Rattus norvegicus: one gene and its partner. The protein of the gene in region 2 purifies or fractionates together with the protein of the main gene of each other region. This does not show direct contact. Links are inferred from orthologs where the notes say so. Each region holds a gene or a part of one and is shown on either strand. Other genes may lie near its edges.

Evidence for each region.
Region 1: the proteins of Sntb2 (region 2) and Cask purify together in Homo sapiens (affinity purification with mass spectrometry; 3 studies listed by BioGRID and IntAct, with this or other methods). This does not show direct contact. The link is inferred for Rattus norvegicus from reciprocal best matches to the Homo sapiens genes SNTB2 and CASK.

The regions. Positions count from the first base shown.
Region 1 is NC_086039.1:11,797,440-11,804,024, reverse strand, and holds part of Cask (peripheral plasma membrane protein CASK), read right to left. Parts: intron 6,233-6,585; exon of another isoform or gene 6,127-6,232; intron 4,094-6,126; coding exon 3,918-4,093; intron 1-3,917. UniProt on the Homo sapiens protein: Multidomain scaffolding Mg(2+)-independent protein kinase that catalyzes the phosphotransfer from ATP to proteins such as NRXN1, and plays a role in synaptic transmembrane protein anchoring and ion channel trafficking.
Region 2 is NC_086037.1:51,819,837-51,825,866, reverse strand, and holds the end of Sntb2 (beta-2-syntrophin), read right to left. Parts: intron 3,988-6,030; exon of another isoform or gene 3,886-3,987; intron 3,719-3,885; coding exon 3,534-3,718; intron 2,134-3,533; coding exon 2,041-2,133; 3' UTR 1,995-2,040; downstream 1-1,994. UniProt on the Homo sapiens protein: Adapter protein that binds to and probably organizes the subcellular localization of a variety of membrane proteins. May link various receptors to the actin cytoskeleton and the dystrophin glycoprotein complex.

The DNA of each region.
Region 1 (6,585 bases), on a different chromosome or scaffold from region 2:
ATTAAAATCATTAATTGGATATTCTGACCGGGGTATTTCAATATCTAAGGAAAAATATTACTATCATCATAAAATAGCTAGTTTCACTTGTATACTGTACTCAGTGAAGCTCTCTGTTTTAGAGATGGGACGACTAATTCGTGTGGTAAAACTGAGTAAAAGTAAACAAAAAGAATTACACATTTTTCACGTCTCTTTGATAATGGCTATGGATGTTTGAGGGAAAGACCAGAAGGCTCCTGGAGAAAGGGTTATGTCTAAGGTCAGAAATGAGAAAAACACTCAGAGCTCGGAGCTGGGAAGGGAAGTGGGAACTGGAGGCAGTGGCAAAAGTGGAAGTTGCCTGATTGAATGACCATATGGGAGCTGCCTGGTGCCAGGAGCTTCATACAGTAGCCAGTTTTTTTTGTAACTGCTGCTGTTGTTTGTCAGTGTTGGAGACAGAACCGTGGTGCATGTGCTCTGCCAAGGAACTACATCTCTGGCTCAGTGTGCTGGCCTTAACCATTAGCGATCTATGTTACCTCTTAAGAGAAAATGATGAAGAATGAATATTATAATTTAAAGGCAAACAAAATCACAGTACTTGCATCCCAGCATAAAGGAATCATTCCAGTTCAGCTGAGGGCTGGCAACAGACACAGAGCTTTGGCTCAGGTGAGGCTTTGAACTTACAGATGGGGAGGGCAAAGCATCTGCATACTAGGGAGAGCTCTTACAGTTGGACAGTGTTCTACTTTCCTTTTCTGAGAGGCAAAATTACTACAGCAATCACTTCCATTTGTTGAATCCCATGAGGAAACTGGCATGGGACTGCTTAAATATTGTCATTTTATCAGAATTGTGGTCAGTGGACTTGTCTGAAATTCATGGTGGTGACTGATTAGGCATTACCTAGATAGATAAGCTCCCCTGTCTTTTTCCCCAACCTGTCACAAGCTAGTTATCTAGGAAGGGGGAGCTCAAGTGAGAAAACGCCTCCATCAGATTGGTCTGTAGGTAAGCCTGTGGGATTGTCTTGATTAATGATTGATGTGGGAGGGGAGGACCACAACTGGTCATCCTGGGTTGCATAAAAAACAATGCGGACTGACAAAGCCATGGGGCACAAGGCCATAATCAACATTCCTCCATGGCCTCTGCTTCACTCTCTGCCTCCAAGTCCCTGTCTTGGATTTCCCCAATTATGGACTGTAACCTGTAAGCCAAATAAACCCTTTCCTCCACAATTTGCTATTAGCCATGGTGTTATCACAGCAGTAGAAACCTGGTTAAAACACCCTTCTTCCCTATCCTGGGTCTCATGTGATTTCATCGAGCTTCCCTTTACACATGTCCAAGATCAGGATTTGACTGCTTCTTTTGATAAGTACTATCAGGGTATTGAGATGATTTTTTTGAGACGTTTTAGAATAACCTAAAAGTGTGTGAAATGCAGAACAAGATTGGTAATACATTAAGTATGGAAGCTGAGAGCTCTCCATCATCCTTGTGTGTTTGACTATTTCCATGATAAAGAAGCGGCAATGCATATTGATAGAATCATATCACAGTATGTCAAAAAGGAAAAAGAAATAGAAAAAACGATGAGGCCCATGAAGCTCATAGAAGTGGTAGAAGTGGCAGAAGTGGATCCATATTTTAAACTGAAGACCTGGGCCTTTTGTAAAGGAGACCATGAAGCCCAGCAAGAAGAGACACTAGCTGAATAAAGTGGGAAATAAAGCTGCAAAGCCACAAGCCCTTGGTACAGCAATCACGGTCTCACTCCTACCTTCTTTATCACTTCCTATAATATTACCATTATTTGCTAAGAATAGGAAATTTTAAAATAACTTAATTTTTAGACAGTGCAAGCAGTTGAAATTACTTACCAAGGCTTAAAAATAAGTATTCAATGCTTTAAAAATAGACAAAATCAAATACCAGACGCTGCTGGAATGAGGCACATTGCCTTGGAAACCAGGAATTAAGCAAGTGAACAAACACAAAGGAAGGATTCTATTCTTAGCAAATGCTTATAACTCAAGAAGGCAGGTGGGAGATTTTATCACATGCTAATAGGCCATGAGCTGCTGAGAAGACTGACTGAATTGCTCAGTGCAGGTCCTGGTGCAGATGAAGTACTCTGCTACTATTCTTAGTAACCTGGTGCCTGACTTTGTTTCCTTCTTTTTGGTATTTTTGAGACAGAGCCTAACCGCGTAGCTTCGGTTGGTCTGGAGCTTGCTATGTAGCCTAGATTAGCCTCAAACTCATAGAGAGTCTCCTGTCTCAGCCTCCTTAAGGTGTTAAAGGCGTGTACCACCATGCTTGGCCCTTCATTTTCAACTGAGTTTCTTGCAACACATTAGCATTTGTAATTTCATTTGATTTGGTAACATTCAGCCAGAAAGACCAGTCTTTGTATTACTGGTAACATTCACAATCTCCCAGGATAGGAGGGGGCCATTGCTTAATAAGCAATCTCCCAGAGTTTTTAGTTACTTGGAAAGTATTGCTTTTATTTACTGGTCAACTAACTCTAAGACAAGCAGAAAAACGTCTGCTTCTTTCTGTTTCAGAAAGATACTGTTTGCTCTCATGAGCTGACAGTGCACAAGGTAAACAAAGTAAAGTATTTGCCATTTTCACCTCCACATGCTTTAGTTATAGTTTAAAGGGACAAGGCTGCAGCTCAGAAACTACCTTTCCACATTATGGGCTGGAAAGATGGCTTGACGGTTAAGAGTAAATATTGGTGCTGCAGAGAACCTGTGCTTCAGTCCCAGCTTCCACATGACTTGTCTAACAACCTCCTGTAACTCCAGCGCCAGGGAGTCTGAGGTCTCTGGCCTCCACTGGCACCTTTTCTCTCTGGTGCGCATACCCACACACAAACCCAAACATATACATAATTAAAATAAAAAATAATCTTAAAAATTATAACATTACTAACAAATTGAAAAGAAAATGTTAGCAGCGTCACAGTTTGGGAGTCTAGTATTATATAAACTTATATTTCATCTTATATAACCAGGCATGGCCAAAAAAGAAGCAATGATTCAGTTGAATAGAAAGTATGAGCTTCAGTAATAATGGGGGGGGGATTTCCCCAGCATTAAGTGCCGCCACATACACACACTTGCAGCTCTAGACCCTACCAGATACATGTGTTGAGACATGCTTAGAGTAAGAAGAGTTGGGACTGTGAATAGACCTTCAGCTTACTTATTTCTGAGAGTCCTTAGGGTTTTTAAAATATAACTCTCTATAATATGTCATAGCATTGACTCTTTTAAAATAAGGAAATCAGTAATCTAGTAATTACAAGACAGTGATAATATTTGAGGCTTCCGATGCATAGTAGCTAAGGAATATGGATGTGTAAGTCATATCAAACTGCCTCTAAGATGGGGCTGGAGAGGTGGTTTAGCTCTTCTGGAGGATCCGAGTTTGCTTCCTAGCATCCATGTTGGGTGAGTTCACTACTGCCTGCACTCTAGTGTATCCAAAACCTCTGGCCTCTGCAGGCTCACATGCACCTACCTACATGCAGACACATACAGAAAACTGATAAAAACAAATTCTTTAGAGATAACAAAATTAGGATAAGAAAGGACTGAAAATACCTGAGTGAAATTTCCATTTGAATGTTAGAAAGTAAGAAAAAAGCTTTAAAAATAAAGGGCTTTTCTTAATTATACAAAAGAGGCCCACAGAAGTTCAGCTGCTCACTGAGTTGAGCTCATGGTGACTCAAACTGACCAAGACCCCATTGTGCTTCACAGGGCTACTGGGTCCTGAGGGCAACACAGACTTGCTCTGGTCCTGGCAGTGATAAGTTAATGAGCAAAGACAGACAACAGCTTCAAAACAAATACTTTTCTGAGGCCCATGTAATTTGAATGGAAAATAAAATGGTCATAATTCATTACCTTATATTTTCCTTTAATAATGCCTTCAAACAATCTTTCCTTGGTTCCGTAGAAAGGCAAACAGCCGCTGAGCAGGATGAAAAGAATCACACCGCAGCCCCAGACATCCACAGGCTTTCCATAAGGCTCTCTCTTGACCACTTCTGGGGCCATAAAGTGAGGTGTTCCAACGCGTCCTGTTATTTAAAACAGCAACATTATGGAAAACTGGTTTTGTGAAACGTGTTTTTTTTTTGTACTTGAAATCTGAAAATTAAAAAAGCAATTATCGGTTTGGATAAAAAATTTATCAATGTCAGTGTTCTATTACTTCCCTTTCTAACAGGAATTCATGGAAAGAAAAAAATAGTTTATCTGACCACTGGGTCAGAAAAGACTAGGCCAAGAACAGGGTCCCCTTCTCTGAATTCTGGACGTTATATAATAGGTCTTCTATTTCTTGCTCCTTGAAGAATTTTAAATGTTCCAATTTAGAGCAGAGCCAGGGAAGAGTGTGTTGCTAGCCTGTACCTGCTGGGACGAGGCGGAAGGCTTACCCTAAGGAGAGGCAGGGGCAGAGAGAGGGCAAAAGTAAGAAACAGCTTGATGGCAAAAAGATTACTTTTAACGGCCCAGCTCCTATTAGGTCAATCACAGCTAATCTCAATGGCTACTGGAATGGGAATCCTTAGCTTATTCCTAATGTTAACATTTGAAGAGGACAAGAGCTAACCGACGGCACACACTAAATTGAAATCAGGAACTCCTTCCCATGCAATCCTTTCACTCTCGTCTTCTTTGAAGATGTTTCTTTTTTTCCCCCTCCCTCTTAAGGGAGGGAACCAGTTTTCTAGAAGGAATCTGGTTCTGGCTGCTTGTACACTATAACTATCTTTCACTGAGTACCCTCGAGGTAGTCTTTTTCTCTGTGGAGGAATAAAAGGCTTCTTCAACTCTGCCAGGAAAGGACTTTGGGACAGGCCACTGCCTGACCAACTTGGCAGCTCTTCTACATTCTGCAGGCCCAGCCCTGGCCTTCCTTCCTGCTTCTTGTCCATCTGCATGTCTCTTCTTATGATCAAGCCAGGATGATTGTCACTTTGGAGATTGTAAAATACTTTATCTCACTGTGGTCTCATGTTTTAAAAGAACCTGAGAGACCTTTTAACCCATTTACAGAGAATATATTGCCAAGGCCTGTTGATGGTTATCAAACTAAGCTGGGGTGGAGAGGCTAGTTAGTTCCTCAGTCTGGATGACAGACAGCCTCTCCTGTGTTCCCTCCCATTTCTTAAAGGAAGAGATCAAGCTCAGCATTGGCTACAAGTCCTGATGAGAGAAAAAACAATTATTTTTGATTGTCTGATTTTACTTCTTCAAGCAGCAACATTGATTTTGCAGTATTGGGAGCTGAACTTTCCACTTCATTGGGAGCTTCTGTAATGCAGGGTCCCAGGATAATAAACATTGTTTTGATGGAGCTGTCAGGAGTAAAGAAAAGCAGGGCCAAGAGCTCAGGGTACCATTTGAAATACAGCTATTAGAACCCATTTGGTACCTGCTGAAAAGTTCTTTGACATGCAACTCCTACAACTTCCTACTCAGGTAGAGTGACTCATTGTGGGGGACCTCCTTGTGGGGGATAACTGAAACCTCCACAGTCAGGCCCAGCCGTCCTAAAGAGAAGACCGCCCCCACTACAGAGAAATTAGTGCTCTTTCTTCAGGAGGATGTATACTTTGAGTTCAAAATTTTTCTCAGAGGTGACAGAGAGATACAGTGGTGACTTTTTAATGTCAAGAACATCAGTAGAATTTGAAAAACTTCACTAAATTTCTTGTGTTTGCTACTAATTTTCTCCTCCTCCTCCTCCTCCTCTTCTTCCTCTTCCTCTTCCTTTTCTTCTTCTTCTTCTTCGTGTGTGTGTGTGTGTGTGTGTGTGTGTGTGTGTGTGTGTGTGTGACCACTTGACTTCGATCACAAAATTCTAAGAACAGGAAACCAATTACCAAACCAAACACATAACGTTTTTGAAATACTTCAGATAGGTACATACATATTTAAATGCTAATTTCAATGCAATAATAAACCTTTCGTCAAACTTCAGGGAGGGAGTTATTCTGAGTGGCTATGTTTTTAATATTTTAGGCTGTGAATCTTCATACATACAAGCACTGTTACCTTCTTCATTTTGTAGGCTTTTTACAATTTCCTGACTATTTTTACATAGGATGTTACACAGCATTTAGCCCTTTCGTGGTGAATTCAGTTGGTACCCTGGCTATCAACAAAGGAACTATGCTACAGAACAGATTGCTCTCTCAGGAGTGTAACAGGTATGTAACAATGGACCTCTGTGGCATCAGACAGCTCTTATGCACTGTTACTTGGCTTTCCTTTTCTTTCCTCTTACCATGCTTTCTCCAGTCCTGGCATCTCTTGATTTGTTGCTTATAATCTGCTACTGACTAGAAAATGGCTCGTCACTACAGTCTTTCATTTAAACATTTCTGGAGTGTTTGCCAGGCCCTAGCCGCTGTGATAGGTGTAGCAGATATTTGGAGGGATGAGCCATGGCTCTCTTACCCCTTACAAATCTCTTGTTTTTGCTGTTTGATCAAATGTTGTTAGGAAGCAGGCAAGCTAGATAGTTTTCATTAGATAGAAGAGGGGAGAGGTCACATAACTA
Region 2 (6,030 bases):
TGGCATTTGAGTACAAAATTGATAATAATAGGTTTGTATCAAGGTGTCCCACACTCGCAAAAAGCATTCCACTTGTGGTTTGAGAAATTCCTAATGGACCACCTGCCTGGGGGGCTGCTGCAGCTTCTGGAACAAGCAGCTTAGGACCTTAGCAGCTTGGGGCTGCTGATGACAAAGAAATCATCCATAAGCCCTCATTTTACAAGACTCAAATGACAGCATTAAAAACCCACAGTCCTCAGCCAGAACATGTGCACACCTTACCTGTCTGCCACCATCATACCTGCTTACATACAGCTCTCCTGAGGAACAGGGTGGCAGCGCCTCCTGTCAATCCCCCTGGTGGCTCAGCCTTGCAAACTGCAGCTCAGGGAGGCAGGAGCCAGAGCTCTCTGCCTGAGGTTACCTGCTGCAGCTCTGCTTTCTGCACTCAGAGCTGGGACATTTCTCTTTTTCCTTTGAGTTGAAGCTGTATCACGGATGGAAACAATCTCAGGGTTATGACTTTCTCCCCAGCCTCTGCAAACTGTTAATCTGACTGCAGAGCAGGGGGCCTGACTCATAGACAGCAGAGGGCAGCAGGCTGACACCTCTGCTTGGCACCTGCCCTTTCCTCTGGCTACCCTGTCAATCAAAGTGGCTCAGGCTCTACACAGACACTTGTGTTTTCTTCCCTTTCGCCCTCTACCCTATTTGAAGCGTCATATCCTTGGGTGGCACTCGAGAGAAATCTAGAAAATGCGAGCTGTTTCTAGACATGTTTTCAGAGGGTAGAAAATTGATATTTCCTTTTTGTTCAGATTCAGGAGCTGTGCTAATCTTGATATTTTATGTAGAGAGTGTTTCAAACGTTTTTTATATACCTCTCTCCCTTCCAAACCAGGAGAAACAAACTGAGGATGATCTTCTGGGTCATGCTCACACTGAGTCATGACGACACTTGGCCATGCTGAACAAAATGCAGGTGACATCATCCTGCCATCCAGGGTGTGTTATATTAAGCAGCTCAGTGTTCAATTGGAGCTGGAGGTGACTTGTCCTTACTACTTTGGGGCCACAAAAGTGCCTTGTGCCACTCAATGTGGCATCTTGACCCACAAAATTACCACCGACAGACATCTTTAAGGAACTGACCTGAAGGAGGACTCCTGAAAGCTCGATGGGACCCCTTCATCCAGACACTAATGAAGCTCCACGGAGCCTAACCAAAGGCACACTTGGTAAGTGATAAGAAATGGCTTAGCTTAAAATGAGGATCTTTCAAAATAAACTGTAGACCCTCCCCTGGCTCCTACCAAATACAAACTCAATATAAACTGAAGAAAGCAAAACTCCTTTCAGAGCAGCAGTCCAACTTGCTTTTCAACTTGGACACCACAAAAAAAGAGGAGTGAAGGAAAGGCAACCGGACTGTGCAAGTTTTGAGTCCTAAAGGCAGCACTTATGGGTGGCGGAGTTGGTGCTAGGGGTGGGCAGGGTGGGGTCAGTGAGAGCCAGGGTGGGTGGAGGAACCTGTGGGGATGATGCTCAGGGATTTCCAAGGTAAAAAACGTTAACACCGAGGTGCAATTGACCTGTGTGGGATATGCCTGAGGGATGGCGGCTACACACTAGCACCTGGGGAGCGACAAGCTCAAGGCTATGCCCAAATGATTCCTACAGAGAGAAAAGGAGAACCCCTTTTGGCTATTGTCTACATCCAAAGAGAGACCCAAAGAGTCAGCCTTCATAACAGGGGAAATAAACCTAATTACTTAGAGATCACATCATGAAAAAGAGACACTAAGTCGCTAAATCGACAGCTTTGATTTGGAGCTCATTATAGTTCTAGAATTTCTGGCCAAGGCTGTGTGGGAAAGGTCAGCCCTTCCTAAAACCCTGTTGTGGTCCAGCAGTGGTCTGCAGGTCCTCGGGAAGGCACTGTGATGGAGGGAGGGAGCAAGGGCTTCAGTTTGTGCTTCTGCGTTGTTGTTGCTTGTCTTTATGTCATCTTCTGAGGTGGAAATACTTCTTGTGGCAGTCTTTCTCCACTCTTGCTGCTCACACAAGCAGTCCCATGCGAGTGACTTTGGCAGATAAGAATGTGTGCAATACAAACACAATCGGCTTTGGACAAGAATGCAGATCCATAGTCTGTGGAGAAGAGACAGGAGTCGTCACTGTAATTCTCTGTCTGTCTGTCTGTCTGTCTGTCTGTCTCTCCTATCCTTTCTTTCATGTACATATGGTGTTTGTCCTACATATGTCTGTGTGAGGGAGTCAGATCCACAGGAACCTGAGTTACAGAGTGTTATGATCTGCCATGTCTGTGCTGGGAATTGAACCTGGGTCATCTGGAAGAGCAGCCAGTGCTCTTAACTGCTGAGCCATCTCTCCAGCCCTACACACACTTTAGAGACAATGGTATTAAATATGTTTAGATGTGATGTCCCCCTTTCTTCTTTTTAAGGCAACCTCATACAGGCCAGGCCAGCCTAGAGCTTACTCATAGCTGCGGAGAACCTTGAACTCCTGACTTGCCCACCTGGATCTCCAAGTGCTGAGATTATCACAGGGATGCACTAGCACGCCCAGATGTACGTGGTACAGAGGATCAAACACAGGCCTTTGTGCATGCCGGGTAAGCAGTCTAGTAACTGAGCTACATTCTTGGTTGAGTTATAATTATTTATTTGTGTGTGTGTGTGTGTGTGTGTGTGTGTGTGTGTGTGTGTGTGTGTGAGTGAGAGAGACAAAGGACAGCTTATGGAAGTCAGCCCTCTCCTGGAGAATCCATCACAGACCATGAGGCTTGGTGGCAATGGCCTTTACTTGCTGAGCCTTCTCTATGGCTCTCTCCAAGTTCTCTGTTGAGACTGGGTCTCTCACTGACCTGGAACTTGCCACAAAAGCTAGGCTGGATGGCCTGCAAGGCCCAGGGATCTACATCCTGGCCTTCCGATGCTGGGATTACAAATGTGTGCTACATATCCAGCTTTTTTAATGTAGATTTTTCTGGAGGGGGTGGGGATTGAACTCAGGTCCTGATAGATGTAGAGCAAACACTTTACTATCTCCCCAGTTCTCAGACAAAACTTAAAAACTAATGAACAGGGGGCTGGAGAGATGGCTCAGCGGTTAAGAGCACCCGACTGCTCTTCCAGAGGTCATGAGTTCAATTCCCAGCAACCACATGGTGGCTCTTCTGGTGTATCTGAAGACAGCTACAGTGTACTTATATATAATAAATGAATAAATCTTTAAAAAAAAACTAATGAACAACTTTTAAGTGCTAATGGAATATCAAATGTTAGGCCATAACTTCCTACACAGGAGGTAAAAAGCAGTGACCGGCTGGGGGTGGATGCAGTTCGGTGGTAAAGCACTTGCCCAGCACACAGAGGCCTTCAAGACTCAGCATAATGAAGGAAAGCAATCAAGCAAGCAAGCAAGCAAGCAAGCAAGCAAGCAAGCAAACAGAAGCCATGTGAGAGACAGGACGCTAGTGGACACATTCATGCCGCCATGCTTGTGGTTTTCAGACACATTCTCACCAGTTCTCCCTCAGGACCACCAAAATCCAAGTAGAGATTTCTGATTCCATCATCAGCAGACATCTTCAGCCGTTCAAAGGGATAGCGGTACAATATGCTGCTGGTGCCGCCATTGTCTCTGGTGATCGTGAACCCGTGCTCATAGTGGACAGTGAATCTTACATCTTGGCCACTTAAGGTGCAGCCTGTCAAGACAAGAAAAACTCATATATAATAAAGATCCTATTTTACTTATCAAGTAGAAAAGGATTCTTCTGGTTCCAAACATAAAAAACAACCTTTTCTTGAGAATATGAGGCCCAAGCAGCTTACACTTTCCTAAAATAAAATTTAAAAAGACTTATTATTCTGCACGTGCTTTGACACAAAGATACTAAAACTGGAAGGAATCAGGAAAGATTAGCATGCTCTCTGCAAGGATGACATGGAAATTCATGAAGCAGTGGATTCATTTTAAAAAGGCCTGTTATTATTTTTATTAAGAGACTGTCCAATGCACCCCAAGTTGGTATGTCATCAGGTATCTTCCTGCTTATCTATTCCAAGTGGTGGTGGAGTATAAGCATGGGCCACAGAGCCAGGCAGAGTTTTCTTTGTGACACAAGATCTTCCTGTGTAGCCTTGGGAGGCCTGGGACTCACTATGGAGACCAGGCTGATCTGCAGTCAGGGATCCACCTGTCTCTGCCTCCAGAACTCGGGGATTAAAGGCACATGTCAGAACATTTGGTATTATTTGTAATTATATGCATAGATCTGTGTGGGGTATGTGCATGTGCGTGCAGTGTCCAGGAAGACCCGAGTGCTGTTGTTGGAGCTGGAGTTACAGTGGGTTGTGTTACCTAACATGGCTACTGGGAATTAAACTTGAGACCTTTGCAAGAGTGGTACATGTTCTGAACAACTGAGCCCAGGCTCCAGCCCCTAAAATTACTTTGGCCCAAGACAGCATCTTGCCTGAGATGAGGCGGGATAAGCCTACCTCTCCTTGACTTCCGTCTCCGTTCGACTGGATATCAACTGTATGTAGTGAGGGGGAGGCAAAGGGGTATTTTCTGCTCGCAAACACTTTATAAATCTCTAACCATATGAGATAGAATCTATAAAACACAATGACACTCAAAACGGAGCTAAGGCTGAAGTCAGGAAAAAGGTTTCTAGGATGGGAATTGAGATAAACCCTAAAGATAGACTAGCTGGGAGGTGGTGGCGCATGCCTTCAACCCCAGCTTGGGAGGCCGAGGCCAGCCTTCCCTACAGAGCCTGGGCAAGAAGGAAGGAGCAAAGGAGAGATACCCTCCAGAGTTGTAGTGTGCTGTGGTTGGGATCTGGGAAGGACACAACGTCTATTAGAAGTTTATGGTCAGTAAGAGTCATGAGGTGACTGCTAATCACAGAATACAACTGGGGCTGCAGACCAGCCCAGTGCAGCAGGCTCACCGAGCAGGAAGGAGGCCCTGGGTTTAATCCTCAGTACCACAGAAAATAGAACAAAACAAAACCCTTCCAGCTCTGCCGGCAGTGGACTGCAAAATGACTCAGTAGATAAATGGTGCTAATTACCAAGCTTACTCCATCCCTGAATCCACACGATAGAAGGGAGAGGACAGACTCATAAGTTGTCCTCTGAGCTCTGTCCTCTGATACTCTCATGAACTAATGTAATAAACCTGTAAAAGCTCAACCAACGACACATCTAAACTGAACAGGAACTCTGACCACCGGGCATGGGCACGGAGGCCTGTAATCTTAGCACTTCGCTGGAGAATCAACAGTCTGAGGCAAGCCTGAGCTCCAGAGCAACACTTAAACACCAGAGCTGAGCTCTGCTCCCATTTCAACAAGAATGGCTCTTGAAGCAGGTCATCATGTGTAGCCAATATACTCTCACCGGATATGCAAAGCATTCGATGAGGTAATGAAGCTGTATGCTTAGCAAACCAGGAAGGAGAAAAACAGATGAAACACTGGGGGCGTCCTTCTCTGCACCACGTGAAGTGAGCGGCGGACAACAGAGTACTAGTTATCAGAAAGCGGCCAAGGAGCAAACATGGGTGAAAGCAGTGAATGGCTGAGGGGGAGGAGGGTAACAGCCATACCCCTAACCAAGGCACCCACACAGTATGGTCCTACTAACATCTCTGAAGTCGGGGTGTAGTAAGGGGACTGGGGTCCATAGGGTTAGTTCTAATCTAGTTCAAGACAGCTCAAGTTTTTAAGAGTTCTGGCTATGGAAGGTGCCATTCAGGCAGGTGAGTCACTGCCAGGAAAACGAAGCCATCAACCCCACGCCAGGCTTGTGTGAGATTCTTCTCATATGGTAGGAAAGCACTGAGCCACCTTCCCCGGCCCCAAGATTTCCCACATGTTCTATTTGAACTGTGTTGCCTGAGGAGGGAAAGAAGGCAAAGCAAACACATACCTAAGAGGTACTTTTGAAAAACAGAATCTTGTTCCTGGCTACCTCAACCTTGAAAAGGGGCAGGGGAGGTCATACT